Linked DNA regions of Ovis aries. The protein of the gene in region 1 interacts with the protein of each later gene in a biochemical or structural test. Links are inferred from orthologs where the notes say so. Each region holds a gene or a part of one and is shown in the gene's direction. Other genes may lie near its edges. The genes, in order: PBX1, PKNOX1 and HOXB1.

Evidence for each region.
Region 2: the proteins of PBX1 (region 1) and PKNOX1 form a complex in vitro, tested with the Homo sapiens proteins (2 studies listed by BioGRID). The link is inferred for Ovis aries from reciprocal best matches to the Homo sapiens genes PBX1 and PKNOX1.
Region 3: the proteins of PBX1 (region 1) and HOXB1 are reported together in a solved structure, tested with the Homo sapiens proteins (2 studies listed by BioGRID and IntAct, with this or other methods). The link is inferred for Ovis aries from reciprocal best matches to the Homo sapiens genes PBX1 and HOXB1.

What each region holds. Positions count from the first base shown.
Region 1 is NC_056054.1:116,740,704-116,744,291, forward strand, and holds part of PBX1 (pre-B-cell leukemia transcription factor 1), read left to right. Parts: intron 1-794; coding exon 795-1,039; intron 1,040-3,588. UniProt on the Homo sapiens protein: Transcription factor which binds the DNA sequence 5'-TGATTGAT-3' as part of a heterodimer with HOX proteins such as HOXA1, HOXA5, HOXB7 and HOXB8. Binds to the DNA sequence 5'-TGATTGAC-3' in complex with a nuclear factor which is not a class I HOX protein.
Region 2 is NC_056054.1:263,841,788-263,846,139, forward strand, and holds the start of PKNOX1 (homeobox protein PKNOX1), read left to right. Parts: upstream 1-1,513; 5' UTR 1,514-1,640; intron 1,641-2,169; exon of another isoform or gene 2,170-4,352. UniProt on the Homo sapiens protein: Activates transcription in the presence of PBX1A and HOXA1.
Region 3 is NC_056064.1:37,689,006-37,693,073, forward strand, and holds HOXB1 (homeobox protein Hox-B1), read left to right. Parts: upstream 1-1,268; 5' UTR 1,269-1,380; coding exon 1,381-1,960; intron 1,961-2,410; coding exon 2,411-2,739; 3' UTR 2,740-3,739; downstream 3,740-4,068. UniProt on the Homo sapiens protein: Sequence-specific transcription factor which is part of a developmental regulatory system that provides cells with specific positional identities on the anterior-posterior axis. Acts on the anterior body structures.

The sequences.
Region 1 (3,588 bases):
AGCATCAAAGTCTTTTCCAATGAGTCAACTTCGCATGAAGTGGCCAAAGTACTAGAGTTTCTGCTTTAGCATTATTCCTTCCAAAGAAATCCCAGGGTTGATCTCCTTCAGAATGGACTGGTTGGATCTCCTTGCAGTCCAAGGGACTCTCAAGAGTCTTCTCCAACACCACAGTTCAAATGCATCAATTCTTTGGCAGTCAGCCTTCTTCACAGTCCAACTCTCACATCCATACATGACCACAGGAAAAACCATAGCCTTGACTAGACAGACCTTAGTCAGCAAAGTAATGTCTCTGCTTTTCAGTATGCTATCTAGGTTGGTCATAACTTTCCTTCCAAGGAGTAAGCGTCTGTTAATTTCATGGCTGCAGTCACCATCTGCAGTGATTTTGGAGCCCCCAAAACTAGTCTGACACTGTTTCCACTGTTTCCCCATCTATTTCCCGTGGAGTGATGGGACCGGATGCATTACTAGTTCCTTATCCCCCCCTTCTCCCAGCCTGTGGTACCCACAGGTCTACTTCCTGTCTCCATCAGTTGGACTATTCTAGGCACCTCATATAAGAGGAGTATAATTAATCTCAGGAACAAATCAGACTCTCCTTGCATTTTCTAGTCCTCCCATCCCTCTCTTTTTCCAGCCCTCTTCACGCCCATTGCTCAGGTGCCGTTTTGTTAAGTGATTTGAGACTTCTTCAGCCAAATCATACATTGGGAGTTTCCTGTTGTTTTTAAATGTTACTCCGTTGGGTTACTGTCAACACCTCCCCCCTCTTTTGTATCTCCCTGCAGTTTTGAGTATCCGGGGAGCCCAGGAGGAGGAGCCGACAGACCCGCAGCTGATGCGGCTGGACAACATGCTGCTGGCCGAGGGGGTGGCGGGGCCGGAGAAGGGCGGGGGCTCCGCGGCGGCAGCAGCGGCGGCGGCGGCTTCTGGAGGCGCCGGTTCCGACAACTCAGTGGAGCATTCCGATTACAGAGCCAAACTCTCACAGATCAGACAAATCTACCACACGGAGCTGGAGAAATACGAGCAGGTATTCACAGCCATGTGGGGTCTGGGCCCCCTAGCCCTTTAGGGCAGGGCGGAGAAATCAAGAACTCTGAGCTAGGAGGGATCCGAGGCACTTAGCCTTTCCTGGAGATTGCCATCCGGGATCCAGTGTTTCTGGCCTTTCCCCAGAGCCACTTGTTGAGCTTGAGCCCATCAAGTCCAGGGTCTCCAATGTTGAAAGCTCAGGCAAACTGGAGACAAGATCACTTAAAAAATAGTTTAAAAAATAGATTCAACTGATGATTTTAGGAAACTGAGTCTATGTACAGAAACAGTCCCTGGCGCTCCAGAGCACTGTCCCTTGGCATGCAGCTCTGGGGCTCTCGGTGTTGCAGAGCCTCCAGGTGAGCTGGGGAAGTGTGTGTGTGTGTGTGTGTGTGTGTGTGTGTGTGTGTGTGTTTGGTGGTGGCGGGGGAGGGGTGAGGAGGGTCCTCTGGCTCATTAATTAGGAAGATGCCTCACGACCCAGTGCTCATGGAAGCCTATGGGAACGGATACTAAAACCTGGCCTTAAATTCCTTCACTCTACCCAGATTAGTTCAAATGGAAGTCCATCATACTCTGACTTTCATATATAGTATGTAATATGATACGCATCTCCCTCTATAAAAAAAGTAGAGGGTCTCAGGGGACCCCTGGGAGTGGACAGAGTTGACTCCCAGCCCTGACATGCTGCTGATGGTCTGTGGGACCCAGTGGTCCACATTCTGTGCCTCAGTAGCTGGTAGTATTCAGCAAAGAGCTGTGGATTTGGAGCCTAAGCTCTCAGAGAGCCATAAAAGGATCATATGAAGGACAAGTTTAGAAAGGCTTTAAGTCACAAAACAGTATATAGATGTTGTATGGTATTCTAATAGCACCCCTCTCTACTAGAGCCCCCCCCAACACACACACACACATGAATTTAAATGTCAATATTGTTTCCTCTGGTCAGTATGAGCAACACTATTTTACTAGGAGTCCTTTAACATCAGGATTTCCTCCCATTATTTAGCTGACATTAGTTGGTTGTCATATTGTTGGATGTGACATTTTCCTGAAATTCTAAGTTAATGTGCTTCCATAGAATTGTTAGATTTCTGGCTTGCTTTCTTTTTTAAGAATCATAGAAGAAGAAGGAGAAAAAAAAATCAAAAAGTAGAAGACCCTGTACCATCCACTTAGGACAGTCTAAGTAAAAGGCAAATGCAAACTTAATAGAATATATAAATTTTAAAATAGAAATGGGCATTTTAAAATTTAAAGTGGAGAAAGTTTCATTATTGCACTCCTATCTACCTTTGAAATGGATTTCTACAGAGTTTCTTCTTTTATGAGGGAAGAAGGTTACTATGAAGCTGGAAGCCAAGTGTGGTGAATTTCAGCCACAGGACAGGTGTAGGGAGATGTGAAGGGGAGCAAAACAAAAGTCATTTTGTGGTAAGAACCTGTGGATCATCACCCTCGACCCTCTCAGGGAAGAATAGACATTCTTATCATGATGTAGACTCTTGCAGAGATTTTATCAGACCCCAGGAGAGGCTCAGCTCAGGTAAGCTGGTGGATCCATGACACGTTCCCTGCCTGGGCCATCACGTTAGAGTTCACAGCCTGCCCCAACCAAGGGGATAGTTTGGGAAGACTCACGGGGACATTTCCTGTAAAGGTCCCTAGCTAGCCACTTGGTTCCCCCCTGCCGTGCTTTTCCCATTGTACCTTCACCACTAAGCTTGGTCTCTGGCATAACCACCTATCTAGACCTGGTTTCCAGGCTGTGTTAGTTGCTCAGTCGTGTTGGACTCTCTGCGACCCCATGGACTGTAGCCCACCAGGCTCCTGTGTCCGTGGAATTCTCCAGGCAAGAACACTGGAGTGGGTTGCCATTCCCTTCTCCAAGGGATCTTCTCAACCCAGGGATCGAACCCGGGTCTTCTGCATTGCAACTAGATGTTTTACCGTCTGAGCCACCAGGAAACTCCAGGGGCACAGAGTGTGGCTTCCTCCCAAACCTACAACTGAGATGGGTATTAGGCTGGATGGTGTTAAAAACTAGCTTTCTTTGTAGCTCAGGTTGCCAGCAACAAAGAAGAACAGACTGTCTTCTTGATCTAACCCCTCCTTGTTGCTCTTCCATCTTCTTCCAAAATGCCTAAAGCACTTTTGTCAACCTAACTGTACTTGTTCCAGCACTTTCATGGATGCCGTCCTCTCCGTTCTGATACAGGTGAGGAAATGGAGGTCAGAGAGGTCAGATGGTATATCTGGGTCACACATCCAAGGAGGGACAGATTACCCTGGAATCTAGATGTGGACCCATAGCCCAAGGCTGTTACTGGAGCAACACTCAGCTCCACTTAATATGGAGCAAGTGTGGGTGTCTGTAGACAGCGAAATAACTGGCTTGTCCTCTCTGGTACTTTCATGGAATAGACTGAAGCTCTCTAAGAGAGACTAGTGATAAAAATACTTTCCTTAAGAAACTTCTCATAGACACCTACATATTCTGAATAACAGCAATGCTGGAAATTGGGAACTTAAACTGCATCCATTTTG
Region 2 (4,352 bases), about 150 Mb from region 1:
GCAGGGCCTGGGTCTCAACTGCCTTGGGACTTGTTTTGGGCCATCAGGGGACAGCACATCCCCAGGTTCTCCTGGACAGAGAGAGACCTCTCCCGCCTCACACACTTGATGAGAACCAGGTGAAAGCTTCAGTCACAGGTGGGGAGAGGGTGAGGCCAACCAGGGCAGGGCTGCTTCAGGGTGCCTGTGAGCAGTGCCATGAGTTGGGGCCCCAGCCCGGTATAATAATCTTCTGTCCCTGTCTTAAAATTCTTAGAAACTCTTGAACAAGGGACCGTTCATTCTGACTTTGCACTGGGCCCTGCAAACACAGGTAGCTGGTCTGCACCACTGAATTGTGTGGGTCCCTTCCCTCCAACTCTCCACTGGTCAGTGGCTCACTGCATCCTAGCCCAGGCGCTGCTATCACAGCCTTCTCTCTGGAAAACGGAGCATTTCTGCAGGACCACGCAGGCTGCCTGCAGCTTCATGGTGCTGGTGGAGTCCTGAAGACAGGAGGGAGGTCCTTCCCGGCGGCTCCCCATTGACTCCCTCCTGAATCACCAGGCATCCTCCAGTCCTGGGTCCCGGGGCAGCGTGCGAGCCCCTCTTCAGACAGAGATCCCACCAAGGAGGAATGTTTCTGTAGAAATGGACAGCCGTTTGGGCCCCATGCCTCTGCGGTAGGAAAGGCCTTGCCTTTTCCTTAACGTCCTGGAGGGCAAGGCCACCAGAGGGACCCGCGGGCTCGCTGCAGCACCGTGTTCGAAAGTCCACCTTGAGATACACCATACTTTCCGCGTCGCCCTAAGAGGTACCACTTCACTGGCAGATGGGGCCTGCGTGGGCCACCGGGGGACAGGTGCCTGACGGCAGAGCGCGGTACCAGAGGCGAGCCTGCAGCGGTGGCTGGAGCCCAGACCGCGGCTGAGGGCGCCGGGGGTCAGGTTGGTGGCTGGGCACTGCCGCCGCTCTCGGGGCGCACGTGTGCAACCTCTGGGAAGAAAGCAGGGGACTGCCTCGGACCTGCACACCAAGGGGGCGCCGCGCAGACTAGGGGCCTGGGCGCCAGATGCCCGCACGGCCTGGCCTCCGAGGACAGCCCGGGACTGGCCTGCCCTGCATCGCCAGGGCGCGCATTCAGGGCTCCTCCCGCGGATGGTAAGGCCCTCCCTCCCCGCCTGACCATCGCAGATGGTTTCGCCCACCCAAGCCCGCTCCACACACTTCCCCCGGTCTCTGAGGAAAGAGCGGAGGGGGCGTGACGCTAGCAGGCCACGCCTCCAGCTCCACACTAGTGAGGCGGGGCTTGCGGCCTGAGGGGCGGGCCGCTCTTCGCGCCGCGGCCCAGCGGCTGGGGGCGGGTCCCGACTGAGAGGCGGGGGCGGGGCCGGCCACCGCCCGCCCCCGGCTCACTCTCCGCCCCCGGCGCCCAGGCCCCGCCTCCAGCCGCCGCGGCGCAGGGACGGGGCGGGGCCCGGGACCCTCAGGCCCCGCCCTCACTGTGAATATTGATGCGGCGCGCGTCGGCGTCGCCCTCCTCCCATTGAGCGAGGCTGTGTCGCGTGGCCCAGCGTCGGCGTGACGGTTGGACGCGGGCGCGGCACTGCGGGTCCCGATTGCTGCAGCCGCTTGTCAGTGTGATGAAGATTGGCACCCAGGTAAGCTGTCACTCAACCGCTCCGCCGCCGCCGCCGCTCCGCCGCCCCGTCCCTATCAATCACGCCGGCCCGCCGGCGCCGCAGCCGCCGCCCCGCCGCCGCCAGCTGGGTCTCCGCGGGCCGCCGCCGCCCGGGAGGGCCGCGCCGGACCTGCCGCCCGGGGCAGGGGGCGGGGAGGGGGCGCGGGTGGGGGAGGGGAGCAGCGGCCGCGGGGAGGGGCGCTGAGGGCCGGGCCGGCGCGGGGGCGCGCCCCGCTTGTTTTTCGGTGTGGGCTTAGGGACGCGGAAATTTCTGGAAGGCTCCGCCGCCGCCGCCGCGCGGGGCCCGCGGCGAAGCGCGCGCTCCTAACCGTCCCTCTCGGAGCGCGGCGCGCGCCCCTGCGCGGGAGGGGCGGGGGGCGCGGGGGCGCGCGGCGGGGGCGGGGGCCGGGCTGAGGGGGCGCGCGGGGGCGGGGCGGGGAGCGGGCGCGCGCGGGGGCGGGGCCGGCGTCCGGGGCGCGGGGGCGGGGCCGCTCGGGGGCGCGCGGGGCGGGCGTTCGCGAGGCGGCGGCGGGGTGCTCGGCGGCCCTGAGGCGGGGGCGTCGCGCTCCTCGGGCTTCCGGGGTCCCAGAGGCCGGGCGGTGGCCGGCGGGTCCCGGGTTGTTAGGGAGCCCGGGGTGCGCGGTGTCTGGAGCGAGTGACACAGGCGTCGCGGGTGGTAAACGGCCGACTAGAGCTAGAGGACGGCGGTGTGGGGCCCGGCCCGGCCGCCCGCTGGCTCCCACATTCCTTGAGGGAGAGGTCGTGAGTCACCTCAGGAGAGGCAGGGAAAGAGGAGTCTGCTTTATTTCAGCGCAGAGGCTGCTGGGACGCGGCGTCGTTAGTGGTTCAGAGGCTGGGCCCGTTAGGCTTTCCTTTGTGATGCACGACTCCTGAATCCGTCTTAGTGCGTGCTGCCCGGGTCGGAGTCCCGGGGTGAGGGCGGAAGGCGGATGCTGGGGAGGGGGAGGGGAATACCTGTACTGACGCGAATGTGCATTCGGTAACTTTGATCGCAGACCTGCACCATCCAGGGTAGATTTGCCGTTTGTAAGGAGGTTGTGATTAACAATTTTGATCCTAAGACTTAGTTTTCAGTAGAAGCTACTGGTAGGGATACTTCCCGCTTTATGCTAAATGAAACCCTCAGCTTTTGTTGGATATACTTGTATGATTTCTCCTGACATATTAAGAGAGGGCTTATGTACTTGTATAATGTTTTATGCAGTGTTTTCTGAATACTGTGTGGAAAAATCGAAGTGAAATGTGAAAATTCTGCCAGTACAGTTGCTGGTGATGCTCTCAAATCTAGGTGTACGTGGGTTTGGAAGGTGGCCCACTGACTCCAATTTGCCTTTATCGGTTTTTTCCTTCACTTTCCCAGCGTGGAGAGAGTCGTGCGTTTCGTTCAGCACGGTTGTGGAATAGAGTTGTAGCACACAGGGCTTTCCAAAGGACCCTTCCTACTTCAGAGATTTACAAGTGGGGATTACAGTTGGTGAAATATCGGATGAGGCAGGACTGGAAAGGTGAACACCCCATGCTGATGATCTAAGTGCAGACACTAATGATACTGGTGTTAATGCTGTCCTCTAGGGCACAGATATTTACATGTCTGTTTCAGTGTGTTGTAGCTTTAGGAAAGTACCACTTAGGATCAGTGAAAGGTACTGGGGGAATAGTAACATTCTAGCGTAACTCTCTCTTTTGTTGCTAACTAATTGAAACTGTTCAGAACACTTTGAAACCTCTAGAGTGATGCAAATCATGCGCCCCAGGGGGCCTTTCCTGCCCTCCCCAGACCTCTGGTCGCCTCCTCTTGGCACAAACGTTTTTAAAAAAATGAAATAGGATCAGGAAGAGAACCTATTATACTGAAATACAGTTATAAAATACAGTTTGATAATAATAATAACCTGTTATACTGAAATACAGTTATCGGAGAAGGCAATGGCACCCCACTCCAGTACTCTTGCCGGGAAAATCCCATGGATGAAGGAGCCTTGTAGGCTGCAGTCCATGGGGTCGCTAAGAGTCGCACGCGACTAAGCGACTTCACTTTCACTTTTCACTTTCATGCATTGGAGAAGGAAATGGCAACCCACTCCAGTGTTCTTGCCTGGAGAATCCCAGGGACAGGGGAGCCTGGTGGGCTGCCGTCTATGGGGTCGAATAGAGTCGGACACGACTGAAGTGACTTAGCAGTAGCAACAGTTATCAAAAGTATTGAACTAAACTTGTAATGAATTTCCTTACCTGCTTTTATTAGCTCATGTAGTAACAGATGGAACACCAGATCTAATTCTTTTTGAGTATTGATGAGTATAAGTGACACTTTGAGATTTTTGTACAGTGCTAATGTTTTGTGAAAATATTTGTAGTTTCTGTTAGTGAAGAAGTCACAGGTGCTGTGCAAATTCCAGGATTTTGCGACTACCTGTGGAATTGAATGAGTGCTAAATTTCAGCCAGACGTTATAAAGATGTGATTTTTTTCTCATTCAGGTTCACAGAGACCAAGTTAAGAGCCTCTGCACTAGCAGTGGATTTGCTGTCAGCGCATCCCTTCCTAGGAGTATGTAGGTGCCCCCCTTTTTCTTCCTCATGATGCTGGTGATGAGGGCAAGGGTGATGAGGAAGTAGGAACAGCACAGCTCAGGGAACCCAGAGCTGAACTGTCTGGGGTCATAGCAGGG
Region 3 (4,068 bases), on another chromosome or scaffold:
CCCAACCATAACCCAACAGACACACTCAGAAGAAAGGGGTGAGACTCCCCTCCTGAGCCTCAAGACTGCCACACGGAAGCTCCCATTCTCTAAGCAAAATCCTTTGATCTATTCTAGAAAATTCATTGGAAACTTGAGTAATCTTTAAGATGTAACTGCTATTGAATTTATGGATTTGAGGCTTGGGATTTTGGGGGAGAGGGGTGTGGGACAGGAAGGAACCAGAAGAATGCACTACACTAGTTTAAAACATTTCAGGAAAAGAATAAAAATTCCCTCGTCTTCACCTGTAAGTAAACATCACCTAGCTCTGTGCTCATTGTGGCTCTCTGGAGAGACACAGGGAATTATTTGAGTCTGAGTGAGCGAGCCAGCTACAGCTATGGATGGCTAGAGAGAGGATAAATACATCCGGAGAGATGAGTTGATGGATAGGTAGGGAAGGAATATAAATATGGAGAGAGATGGAGGAACAGAGAGATGGATTGAGACAGAGAGAATATAAAAAGAAGCTGAGGGAGAGAAATGGATGTGTGAATGAGGAGAGAGTGGTTATGTGGCGAGGTGGAGAGGGGAATGGGGCATTTCTCATCCTCTTCTCCGCAGTGCTGTCATCTTGTCTTGCTCCTTGAAATGCCAGTTTCCCACCCCTCACTTAATGAATTCTTTCTCTAGATTCTAGGCCATGCCTCACACCCTTAGGTGTTTTGCATCCTTTCCCTTCACAGTCATCCATTTGGCCCAAGACAACATACCTGACTTGGCTGTTCTAGCCCATCACCCCAAATTAGGAGAAAGAAACTCAGAGTGGGAGTTCTGGGCAAAGGAGGCTGGATTCCCCATCTCCTGGTCTACAGACTTGGGGAGGGGGTTGCTCCTTTGTGAGGTGAAGGGGGTGGTGGTGGGAAGAATGAAGGGCAGCTGGGTTGAATTTGTCCAAATCTAATAACCTAGGAGCCTATTGAAGGCCTTGGGGACTGAGAGGGGAGGAAAGTCTTGAATATTTCTCTAACTTTTGCCCCCTCTCCCTCTGGTCCCTTCTTTCCAAAAGTCTTTGAAGAAAGATGTTTTTGACGCTTCCATGTCGCCCTCAGATGGATGGGCTGTGGGTGATTGAAGTGTCTTTGTCATGCTAATGCTTGGGGGGTGATGGATGGGCGCTGGGGCTGCCAAACTGTGGCCCGCTGCGCCCATTGGCCTGGGAGAGATCACATGCACCCTTCCACCCCCACTCCCTACCCCCTTCCTGGGGGAGCGCTGGCCCAGGCAAGCTGGGTTAGGCCATGGATGCAAGCTTCTGCGCTGTGACATACTGCCGAAAGGTTGTAGGGCAAGAGGGTGTCTTCCCTAAACGGGCCGACCCTCCTGCGGCCTCCACGCATGGACTATAATAGGATGAACTCCTTCTTAGAGTACCCACTCTGTAACCGGGGACCCAGCGCCTACAGCGCCCACAGCGCCCATACCTCCTTCCCCCCCAGCTCGGCTTCCGCTGTTGACAGCTATGCAGGCGAGACCCGCTATGGTGGGGGGCTGCCCAGCTCTGCACTCCAGCAGAACTCAGGCTATCTGGCCCAACAGCCACCCTCGGCATTAGGGGTGCCCTTCCCCAGCTCTGCGACCTCGGGGTACTCCCCAGCTGCCTGCAGTGCCAGCTACGGGTCTTCTCAGTACTACCCTCTGGGCCAGCTGGAAGGAGATGGAGGCTATTTTCATCCTTCAAGTTATGGGGCCCAGCTAGGGGCCTTGTCCTCCGATGGCTATGGAACCGCTGGAGTGGGCCCAGGGCCCTACCCTCCACCGCAGCCCCATTATGGGAACGAGCAGACAGGGAGCTTTGCACCGGCCTGTGCTGATCTCCTCTCCGAGGACAAGGAATCGGCCTGCGCGTCAGAAACGAGCACCCCTACAGCCCAGACCTTCGACTGGATGAAGGTTAAGAGGAACCCACCCAAGACAGGTAGGGCTCAGACGTGGCCACCCCCTCTCTGGGGGCTCAGAGCAGCTCTGCTGCTTTTGCACGAAGGTGTCCTGGGCTGGGCTCCTGCCTGCATACCGGGTAGAGGCAGGTAAGAGCACTGTGCTCACTCTCAGGTCAGGTGGGGTCTCCCCACCGAGTGAGTGCGCAGTTACCCTTAAGGGTAAGTCTCCACACACAGCCGCACTTCCTGATCTGTGTGCTCAGCGCACGCCCAGGACCCGGTGTTCCGACGAGGGGGAGCTGGGGGGTGGAAGTGTGGGGTGCGGCTCCAGGTTGTCTGGAGGGGTGCCTGGTGATCCACGGAAACTTTGAGAGCTGAAGCTGGATAGAGTGGTGACTGGGGGTGCAGAGCTGGCCGGGGCGGGGGGCGGGGAGGGGAAGGAGAAAGAGGAGAGAACTGACGTGGCCCTTCTCTCGCCCCGCCCCTAGCGAAGGTGTCCGAGCTGGGCCTGGGTGCGCCAGGTGGCCTCCGCACCAACTTCACCACTCGGCAGCTGACCGAACTGGAGAAGGAGTTCCATTTCAACAAGTACCTGAGCCGGGCCCGGAGGGTGGAGATCGCTGCCACCCTGGAGCTCAATGAGACGCAGGTCAAAATATGGTTCCAGAACCGGCGCATGAAGCAGAAGAAGCGGGAGCGGGAGGGAGGCCGGGTGCCCCCAGCCCCTCCAGGCTGTCCCAAGGAGGCGACTGGAGACACCTCCGACCAGTCCACGTGCACCTCCCCGGAAGCTTCGCCCAGCTCTGTCACCTCCTGAACTAAACCTCCCACCCGGGACTCCTCAGCACCAGAGAAACGAGGAGTCCTGTCCAGCCCTCTCCTCTGTTCTCCCTAATCTCGGCCTCAGCTCGACTACTTAGGCTGGGGCTCCAGTTCAGAGCTGCCTTTGGGAGGAATGGGGGACTGCTTTCCTCCAGTCTGGGCAGGGTGCTGATGGCTGGGGACCCTACCAGACCAGAGGCATGGGAGACCCAACCTGTCTAATGTGAGGGAAGGGCTTCCTTCTGCCTCTAATCTAGGGATCAGCCCTCGGGTGGGATGGGAGCAAGTCCCAACCTCCCAGGTTCTCTTTTCCCTTCCAACTTCCATTTGTTCAGTCCAGTGCCTTTGAGCTTTGAGGACTCTCCTCTCATGCACTCTTATCCTAACTCCCCCTTCTAGGCCCAGGACAGAGAGGTTTCCTGTGTGGGAGGTATTTGGGTGCTGGCTATGACCAATGCTTAATCTCTCTAGTTGCCACAGACCTTACAATAGCACCAGCTGCCTTGTGACAGACCAAAAAACTCCCCCCACCACCCCCATCAAACCCTATTAACCCCCTCCTGGCACATTTGTATTGCACTAGCGGCCTCCAGAGGTTGTTTTCTGAGACCTGCCCCCACCCCAGCCCCGGCGACTTTATCTCGAAGCTACCAAAGTGTTTTGGAACTTGGTACTTCAGAGACTTCTGGAATGTTGTTTGAGGCTGGACCCCAGCAAGCCTCTACCAGGAAGGCGCAGGCTCGCCCCAACTAGTTCCTCCCCTATTTATTGCCTCCTGGAAAAGCCAGGACCTTCTTCCTCATCTCCACCCCCACCCCTGGTGCAGCCCAGGGAGGCCCAGGTGCAGGGAGAGCTCCGACCAGCATCAAGCATTTCTCTGAACCTTGGGACAGTGGAGACACCACTCTTTCTGGAAACCTGAGCCCCAAGCAACCAGGTTCTCTCTGTACCTCCAGCTACCTCATTTCAATAAAGTCTGTTTTCCCCTCCTCCGGCATCTTCTGCTCCTGTCTAGGGGTTAAGCGGGCTCTCTCCAAGAGGGCTGGGGGAGAGATGAGGAAAGAATAGATGCAAATTGGTTGAGCTGGAAGCATCTGAGCTTTATGATCTCAGTTGGGTAAAGAGAAGGACTTACTGGGTGGGGCCTAAGCAGAACCGGGTCCTAGGTTTCTTAATCTGACAGAGTCAGTCCTCCAGGAAGACCTGGAGGGGAAAGGAGGTAGGGAGGAAACAGTTCGGAGACCTTCCTGAGAGGAGGAAGGCAGGAAAGGAGAATAGTGGATCTGTTTGGAGAGAACAGAAAAGGGTGTGAAAAGAGGAGGAA